3 linked regions of the Saccharomyces cerevisiae S288C genome follow. The protein of the gene in region 1 binds, or shares a complex with, the protein of each later gene. Each region holds a gene or a part of one and is shown in the gene's direction. Other genes may lie near its edges. The genes, in order: GON7, PCC1 and KAE1.

Region 1 (3,117 bases):
GCCAGATGGTGATTGATAAGATTCGCCATTTCAACACTCTATTACTGGCGCTATACTATAATGTTTATGGGCCTACCTGGTATTATAAGATGATTTCTCAAGGCACTGCCGGTGAAGGTGACAAAGACACTTTCGTCGCTGCTGCCCATGCCTTGAATATGCCATACTATCAAGTGAGGACTAACTTTGAATTTGATGGTTTCTTCTATCAAAAAGATGATTACAAGGGTCTCGCCTTGCTCCAGCATGATTTTGAACAAGATTACAAGCAATACCAAAAGGCGCAGCAGAAAGTTAAAGCCAACATTGAGGAATTTTCCAAACTGGATCCAGATTATACTTTGGACAATGGTTTCTTGAAAACTTTGATGGTTAATGATGACGGTTCTGATTTGGATATCATGTTCATTCATGCCAGTTTCTACAAGGCAGATCCATGGACTCTTTATCATGAAAACAGATTTATCGGTCCAAATGGCGAACAAGTACGGGGCTTCAGGAAGCCGCATCGCTATGGAATGGATTTTGAATTGTTTTTATTCAATGATATGAGGGGGTCCTTCTGTACCACTCCGAAAAGCCAAGTTATTAAATTCAAGTATTTTACCGATAAAGTTAATACCCCAGAATGGGATGCAATGTGTGAGTATTTGACCAATCATGTTAATTATCTGGAGAGCACACACAAAGAAGCTATGGGGGAGAAAAACTAATGAAGTGATTAACTATAATAATTTAATAATAACTCGCCATCCGACCTTGTATAATATAATGTAGCATATATGTGCACGGATATATATACATCTTAGAAAAAAATGAAAAAATGAAACCAAGAAAAAACTAACTGATGGTGTTCGGACAACGTTTTAGAATGAGGGTATCTAACTTTCTTCTACCATTCTCTGTCCAAAAACCTAGAAAGTAAAGTCCAGCCAAACCAAGATGTGTTTTCCAACGACGAAGACGCTGCGCTTGGTGAACGGTTTAATGTTTCTCCAGTGCTCTCATCTGTAAATCGTGACCGCGATGACGAATCTATATCTACGTCTGACAACCTGTCGAATTCAAGAGGCATCGAGTAGTAATTGAAAATAAAGTCACGCTGGGGGAAAAAAGATGGTATATCGTCAAATATTCTTTCATGATGGTATGTCAATAATTGCCGGCGAGTTTTCTCGCGGTAGCATGTTCTTAGAATTGGATACAAGTCTCTTGATAGTTTCTGCACAGCAATTCTTTGGGCATTTGTAAGTTTCTTTAATTTCGCAGAGGTATAAAGTTCTCTTTCCTTAAAGGAATAAACGGGAAATCCATGATTGACACCGTCGCTTGATTGAGGGACATTTTGATGCAGCTCATTAAATAAATGGCTGCCCAAACACCACTCATCGATCCGGTCAGAGTTACTAGACGATCGAATGTTACGAAGAGCGGGCGCCGGCTGCTCTGAGGGCGGAGAATTTTTATTGCTGTCACTGGATATCGACAGTATAGCAATTTCGTCAGAAGGAACTTCGAAGGCACTACTTGCAGATTCCAGTGTCTCATCGCGACTAATGGCAGTATTTGTACATTCTGGAGATAAATCTGGGTTATTGATAACCCTTACATCATTGAATGACTTTAATCTATGGAAGTCTAGCTCAAATTCCTCTTCTGAGAGTTCCAGGACTTCAAATAGCGATTCTTCATCGTGAATGCCGTTATTAATTCTGGGTTGAATGCGAGCAGACCTTGACCCGCAATCAACCTGGTAATTGTTCACAGATGCCATTAATGAGCTGTACTGACCACCAAATTTTAGTATTTTAAGCCCTGAATACAACCTTTGCTCCTTGTCGACATTCGTAAGTATATAGAAATCTATCCCTTCAAAAGATTTGTATTATTCGGGATTACGCTACAGCCGCACGTAGATCGTACGTGTATAACGATGTTTATCTTGGTGAAAGTATCTTAACGCGAATGCTCTAGTGATGGCACAATAGAATAGTGTCTTAGCACCACAGAGCGTGATTTTTTAAAGCTCTATATTAGCAACTACGATAGGTGTTTATTTAGTTTCTTTGTTGATCTTCCTGTTTCCAGTGTTACGGCCTTGTCAGGTCAAAAATTTTACCCGGATCTCTAGTAATGAGTAACTTAAGAATATCCCATCTGATTATTGGTAGTTTTACTGAACCAAGTTAGAGCTAAATAAATATATACAGCCGATAGTGCACTGGAACCTTATCCTAATATCTCAATGAAACTACCGGTAGCACAGTACAGTGCACCAGATGGTGTGGAAAAAAGTTTTGCACCAATACGCGATGACCCTCGATACATGACCACAGAGGGAAGGACAACTGGGCCCAGTGACCATGTGCTAAACGCTGGCCAAATCGATAGAGACAAACCTTCAGAACCGGAACGCACGAAAGATGGCTCACAACTGACATACTTAGGCCAGCTGCGCACGCAGCTGACGGGGCTACAGGACGATATTAACGAGTTTTTGACAGGAAGAATGGAATTGGCAAAAAATAAGAAGAAAGCCGGCGCAGACGAGAAGCGGATCCAGGAAGAGATTAACCAGCTATTAGATGGTGGTGACGGTGACGAAGATGCTGTTTAGGCAACGATATGTAGCGCTAGAGAGTGTATATACAAACAGAAAAGAGTCTAATGATAAATGACAAATATTTCGTTACAAGTGATAATTGTTGAACTAGGAAGAGTTGATATAAAAAAATAATAAACACACGATGGGATACAGTTAAGAAGGATTGATCGACTCCTAAATGATGCGAAGAAAGCCAATTTTCAACTTGGAATCATCCTGCCGGTTTGTTGTTGGTGTTAGCTGTGTTAGGACTCGTTAAAATGGCAATCAAACCAAGAACGAAGGGCAAAACGTACTCCTCAAGATCGGTGGGTTCGCAGTGGTTCAACAGGCTTGGTTTCAAGCAGAACAAGTACGGAACTTGTAAATTTTTGTCGATAATAACGGCCTTTGTTTTTATCCTCTATTTCTTCTCCAATCGCTTCTATCCAATTTCTCGTTCCGCCGGTGCATCATATTCTCCATCCCATGGGCTGTATATTAACGAAATTCCTGCCTCCAGCCGGTTGATT
Region 2 (2,840 bases), on another chromosome or scaffold:
AGAGTTACAAAATGCAAAAGTAGCACAAGGTAACAACCAGTTAGAAGCAATAAGAAAATTACAAGAAGACGCAGAAAAGGCTTCAAGAGAGCTTCAAGCCAAGTTAGAAGAAAGTACGACTTCTTACGAATCTACGATAAACGGCTTAAATGAAGAGATTACAACATTAAAAGAAGAAATTGAAAAACAAAGGCAAATCCAGCAACAGTTACAAGCTACATCTGCAAATGAACAAAATGACTTATCTAACATAGTTGAGTCTATGAAAAAGTCTTTTGAAGAAGATAAAATCAAATTCATCAAAGAAAAAACCCAAGAAGTTAATGAAAAAATACTCGAGGCCCAAGAAAGGCTAAATCAACCTTCCAATATCAATATGGAGGAGATTAAAAAAAAATGGGAATCTGAGCACGAACAGGAAGTATCTCAAAAGATTCGCGAAGCTGAGGAAGCCCTCAAAAAGCGAATCAGATTACCCACTGAGGAGAAAATTAATAAGATAATCGAACGAAAGAAGGAGGAATTGGAAAAAGAGTTTGAAGAAAAGGTTGAGGAGAGAATAAAATCAATGGAACAATCTGGAGAAATAGACGTGGTGCTTCGAAAACAGCTAGAAGCTAAGGTTCAAGAGAAACAAAAGGAATTGGAAAACGAGTATAACAAAAAATTACAAGAAGAACTCAAAGATGTACCACACTCAAGTCATATCTCAGATGATGAAAGGGACAAATTACGAGCAGAAATCGAAAGCAGGTTGAGGGAGGAGTTCAACAATGAACTGCAAGCCATAAAGAAGAAATCCTTCGACGAAGGAAAGCAACAAGCAATGATGAAAACTACCCTTTTGGAAAGAAAACTTGCCAAGATGGAATCTCAATTGTCAGAAACAAAACAAAGTGCCGAGAGTCCTCCGAAATCTGTTAACAATGTACAAAATCCATTACTAGGATTACCTAGGAAAATCGAAGAGAATTCAAATTCACCATTCAATCCGTTACTTTCCGGTGAAAAACTCTTAAAGCTAAATTCTAAGTCTTCATCAGGTGGATTTAACCCTTTTACCTCGCCATCCCCAAATAAGCACTTACAAAATGATAATGACAAAAGGGAGTCGTTGGCTAACAAGACAGATCCACCAACTCATTTGGAACCCAGCTTCAACATTCCCGCCTCAAGGGGTCTAATATCTTCATCTTCCACTTTGTCAACTGATACAAATGATGAAGAACTTACTAGCAACAATCCTGCCCAAAAGGATTCATCGAACAGAAATGTTCAATCGGAAGAGGATACAGAAAAAAAGAAAGAGGGAGAACCTGTTAAAAGAGGAGAGGCAATAGAAGAGCAGACGAAATCCAACAAGCGACCTATTGATGAGGTAGGAGAGCTGAAAAATGATGAAGACGACACTACAGAAAACATTAATGAGTCAAAAAAGATCAAGACTGAAGATGAGGAAGAAAAAGAAACCGATAAGGTGAATGACGAGAACAGTATATAAAGGAGATAGTAAAAACAAGGGATCAATACAAACTAAACCTTTTTCAATGTGGAGGAGCTTCATTCTGCCCTATGTCAAGACCATTTGTAATATACGTACAACAGCATTCTTGTTTCATAAAGTTTATATATGTATAAGCTAAGATGAAGTCACGTAAATAGCTCAAATGCCGATTTTTTAATACTCCAAACACAGAATCCTCTATATATGGAAATGGAATCATGAATCTTACGGTTTGTGTTTTGAATGTTCCAAACAGATTTTCTTAGTGTTCCGATCTCTGTTCCACCCACCAAACGAGAAAAAAGTAGGTCTTCGCGAAAACTCCAGCGACACCGCTGGTCCTTTAAGTTAAAATAATATGAATGGTGGAAGAACCCAGATCAACTTGACTGAAACAAGTCTGCCAACATAGACAGCTAAGAAAATTGATGACAAGCAAACGGGAAAAGTCACTGGATCACACATTGTAAGTAGAAGCAGTTTTTCAATGGGAAGACCGCACTGCATAGTTTACTAACTATTTAAACTTTCCAAACATTAGAGAACTAAAGATACCGTTTGAAACGGAGCGACAAGCGACCATAGCAACCAAAGTCCTATCTCCGGACCCGATTTTGAAGCCACAAGATTTTCAAGTAGACTACAGTTCCGAGAAAAATGTCATGCTAGTCCAGTTCAGAAGCATTGATGATAGGGTGCTTCGAGTGGGAGTTAGCAGTATCATAGACAGTATCAAAACCATTGTGGAAGCCATGGACGTTCTATCATAAATAATTAGAACACCGTATTAGTGTACATATAGTATAAGTATCTAGACGGCATTCATGCACATCATAACTTAAATATTTAAAATAGCATTAAGATAAAAAAATAAAGAGAGGTATAGTTGCTAAATGTCCTGGGGTTGCGTGTAAATAAACAATTGTTTGCTTTGAGTAAAGCAAGCATGTGGATGGTAGATGAGGCCTTATTTACTCCCATTAGCTGGGTAACGCAGAAAGTTTTAATATGAAAGGGTGACGGCGCTTGGCGTTTTTCTTGGATTGTAGAAGTCATGCTAGGCCCTTGGAGTAAGATAAGAGAGAACAAATAAAAGCTTTGGCAAATATCAACTCAGACGTCTTTTTTAAAGAGGATATAGAGCTTTGGTGTTGGCCTATTTCCCATCGCTGTTAAATTTCCGCTTTTTTGTTTTTTTTTTCCCTAAATTTGAGGAACAGCTGTTTATATTGATTTCCTTCTTTCCTGGTGCATATTGGTTGAATCATCAACGCTTAACGACTAACAAATTAGATCCAGAGTTACAGACGGGTGAGATTCATATATAGACCGAAGG
Region 3 (3,600 bases), on another chromosome or scaffold:
TTATTGGCTCCTGAGTTAGAAACTCAGAATCTATGGTAATACCATTGTGTTTCAGATTATCTGGATTATTCTTCTCGTACGAAGAAGTATTACTCATTTTTTATTTCTTTTTTTTGTTTCTTATAAATGTTGCTGTCCTTGGTCTGTTCTTTTCTACTTTTGTTTTGTTGAGGACAATAAGAAAACAAGACTTTGTATACAAGGAATTCAAAAATCAATCTAGGAGAAAAAACATCGTCTCATTGACATTCATTTAAGTGGACTTCACCTTCATCTTTATATGTCTCATCCAGAGCGAATTCCGGAAGAAAGGTGTGTTGCCCCAACTATGCGCTTATCATGTTTAATTTACTATGAGGAGGTAAATGGCCGGTTGCTCCAGAAGATAAGCTAATCGGACGTAAGAAAAAGCATCCAAACTGACATTTAACAATCTTATCAGTTACCAAATCAAGTTCCCCGTTATCGCACTCGAGAGATATGGGCGATGTGACTTTGCTGCATGAGGTCAATGGGTAGATTAGTGAGGCTGCCTGATAGCGGCACGGCACCAACGACCCCTTATCAAAAGGAAATGGTATAAAAAAAAATAAATAATAATTATTAATAAAAATATCACTGATTACGATTCTAGTGAGCAGATAAGCGATCGGCTGAAAAAAAAAGTCCTAAAACAGATATCATGATGAAAAAAACAACCATAGATTCCACCGGATCAGTGAAAAAGTAATCAACGGACCTGTGGAAGGTCGGAATGAGTCGCCGACGGAACTCATGCTGCCCCTATTCTCCTTTGTGTCTGGTGTCAGGTCGATCTGCACAGCGTAATGATACTTCGACTAGTCAGAACGCAACATATTGTCCTTGGCACTGGTGTGTCTAATCTATTGTTGTAGGTTACGTAAGCAGGGGCAAGACACCATCTGATGGGTTGAAAAGAATGTGTAAGTATTAGAACCTTAGTTCAAACAGTAAAAAATACAGAGAGCTGTGTCTAATTTAATCATGTATGTTCTGTGTTGATTTATCTATCAATGCTTTAGTGCTTCGTAATAGTACAACTTCAGAGTGAGTATGAGAAAGTTTCTTTTAACTTTTGGCCCAGGATTTTTTGCCGGCCGGGCAACGCAATGTGTTCTCTAAATTGGGTAGTGATGATTTTATATACATCAGGTCAAACATAAACCAAGCGACAGATTTGTCGAAGATATTCGACGAGGTATTTTTTGATTACTTGACCCAGAGCGAGGTGTAAATGATGTATTTCACACGGATGGAACGCCCGCAAGAGTCTACTAAGCAAAACATGATGTTGAAATATCATCTGTTTAGTAATATTCATATTGCTAGTATACTATCATATGCGGTGTAAGAAGAGGACATAAGGTTGAAAAATAGTCATCAATCTAATGAAAGCTGAAATGCAAGGATTGATAATATAATAGGATAATGAAACATATAAAACGAAAGCAGAAAATAATCGTAGTATTATTATGTAGAAATATCGATTCCATTTTGAGGATTCCTATGTGCTCGAGTACAATTTCTAGTATATTCTGTGTATGTATATTATAGTCTTTATCATCAATGGCATCCCAACAATTATCTTAAAATTCACCCATTTGTCAAGATAATGGTTGATTCTTATTTAGACACAATAAAAAAACTTGAAGACATCTGCTTCTGAGCTGTAGAGGTACCAATTCGACGAAATATAAATATTTAAAACTAAGAGAAAAAATCCAACAAATAACGTTCCGTGATAGTTTAATGGTCAGAATGGGCGCTTGTCGCGTGCCAGATCGGGGTTCAATTCCCCGTCGCGGAGATTTTTTATTTTGCTTTTTATTCCTCCTGTAATATCGCTTTATACGGAAAAACTGAATTCTTTCATTATGATGAGTTCGAGAGTAACCATTTTTACTTCGTGCAACGATGCATATATTTATCTTTTACGTGAAGGGAATTCCCAAGCGTTCCCTAATGCAGTCGGGAGCAAAATGGTCAACTTGAACACTATCCCACCCAAAAATGGCAGGGACTACTACATTGCGCTTGGACTTGAAGGTTCTGCAAATAAACTGGGCGTTGGTATAGTTAAGCATCCGCTTCTGCCTAAACATGCCAACAGCGATCTATCTTATGATTGCGAAGCTGAGATGCTTTCTAATATTAGAGACACATATGTCACACCTCCTGGGGAGGGATTTTTGCCTCGAGACACGGCAAGGCATCACAGAAATTGGTGCATAAGACTCATAAAACAAGCACTGGCCGAAGCTGACATCAAAAGCCCGACACTAGACATTGATGTAATTTGCTTTACCAAAGGTCCCGGCATGGGGGCCCCTCTGCATTCAGTTGTCATCGCCGCCAGAACGTGCTCCTTACTGTGGGACGTGCCACTGGTGGGAGTAAACCACTGCATTGGTCACATCGAAATGGGGAGAGAAATCACTAAAGCTCAAAATCCTGTGGTACTGTATGTAAGTGGTGGAAATACACAAGTTATTGCATACTCGGAAAAAAGGTACCGTATCTTTGGTGAAACGCTTGATATTGCTATCGGTAATTGTCTTGATAGATTTGCAAGAACTCTGAAGATACCTAATGAGCCCTCGCCTGGCTACAACATCGAGCAGTTAGCTAAAAAAGCCCCTCACAAAGAAAACTTGGTAGAACTTCCCTATACAGTAAAGGGGATGGATCTTTCGATGAGTGGTATATTGGCTTCCATCGATTTACTTGCCAAGGATCTATTTAAGGGCAATAAGAAAAATAAGATCCTATTCGACAAGACAACGGGCGAGCAAAAAGTCACTGTAGAGGATCTTTGCTACTCTCTGCAAGAGAACCTATTCGCCATGCTAGTTGAAATAACAGAAAGAGCTATGGCTCACGTTAACTCCAATCAAGTTTTGATCGTAGGCGGTGTTGGTTGTAACGTGCGATTACAAGAAATGATGGCGCAAATGTGTAAAGACAGGGCCAATGGGCAAGTACATGCTACAGATAATAGGTTTTGTATCGATAACGGAGTTATGATTGCCCAAGCAGGACTACTAGAGTATAGAATGGGTGGGATCGTGAAGGACTTTTCTGAAACTGTTGTTACGCAGAAATTCAGAACCGATGAAGTATACGCAGCCTGGCGTGATTAACGATTTTTGTTACAGTTAGCCTAATGTTCACACTACGAATATATATATATATTTATATATGCCATACACCTTACATTTACAGCTCAGTGTATAACCTTGTGGAAGCGCGAAAATAAGCAAGAGACATTTGAAAATAATCAATAAACAAAGCTCAAAAAAATTAGATCATCACCTAACAAAATAAGACGTGGCAATTACAGAATGGGGGAAAGCTTGGATAGATGTATAGATGATATTAATAGGGCGGTGGACTCTATGTCCACACTCTATTTCAAGCCACCAGGAATTTTTCATAATGCCATCCTACAGGGAGCAAGCAACAAGGCAAGCATTAGAAAAGACATTACTAGACTAATAAAGGACTGTAACCACGACGAGGCGTATCTTCTGTTCAAAGTCAACCCTGAGAAACAATCCGTTTCACGTAGAGACGGCAAGG

The links.
Region 2: GON7 (region 1) and PCC1 share a complex: the UniProt entries of both Saccharomyces cerevisiae proteins name them as parts of the EKC/KEOPS complex.
Region 3: GON7 (region 1) and KAE1 share a complex: the UniProt entries of both Saccharomyces cerevisiae proteins name them as parts of the EKC/KEOPS complex.

The regions. Positions count from the first base shown.
Region 1 is NC_001142.9:81,203-84,319, forward strand, and holds GON7 (chromatin DNA-binding EKC/KEOPS complex subunit GON7), read left to right. Parts: upstream 1-2,245; coding exon 2,246-2,617; downstream 2,618-3,117. Other genes in the region: alpha-1,2-mannosyltransferase MNN5, read left to right, coding at 1-713; ATG36 (Atg36p), read right to left, coding at 893-1,774; MNN11 (alpha-1,6-mannosyltransferase), read left to right, coding at 2,866-3,117. UniProt on the Saccharomyces cerevisiae protein: Component of the EKC/KEOPS complex that is required for the formation of a threonylcarbamoyl group on adenosine at position 37 (t(6)A37) in tRNAs that read codons beginning with adenine.
Region 2 is NC_001143.9:623,932-626,771, forward strand, and holds PCC1 (chromatin DNA-binding EKC/KEOPS complex subunit PCC1), read left to right. Parts: upstream 1-1,932; coding exon 1,933-1,970; intron 1,971-2,045; coding exon 2,046-2,274; downstream 2,275-2,840. Other genes in the region: MLP1 (Mlp1p), read left to right, coding at 1-1,501. UniProt on the Saccharomyces cerevisiae protein: Component of the EKC/KEOPS complex that is required for the formation of a threonylcarbamoyl group on adenosine at position 37 (t(6)A37) in tRNAs that read codons beginning with adenine.
Region 3 is NC_001143.9:511,560-515,159, reverse strand, and holds KAE1 (tRNA N6-adenosine threonylcarbamoyltransferase), read left to right. Parts: upstream 1-2,000; coding exon 2,001-3,161; downstream 3,162-3,600. Other genes in the region: amino acid permease GAP1, read right to left, coding at 1-97; SPC34 (Spc34p), read left to right, coding at 3,363-3,600. UniProt on the Saccharomyces cerevisiae protein: Component of the EKC/KEOPS complex that is required for the formation of a threonylcarbamoyl group on adenosine at position 37 (t(6)A37) in tRNAs that read codons beginning with adenine.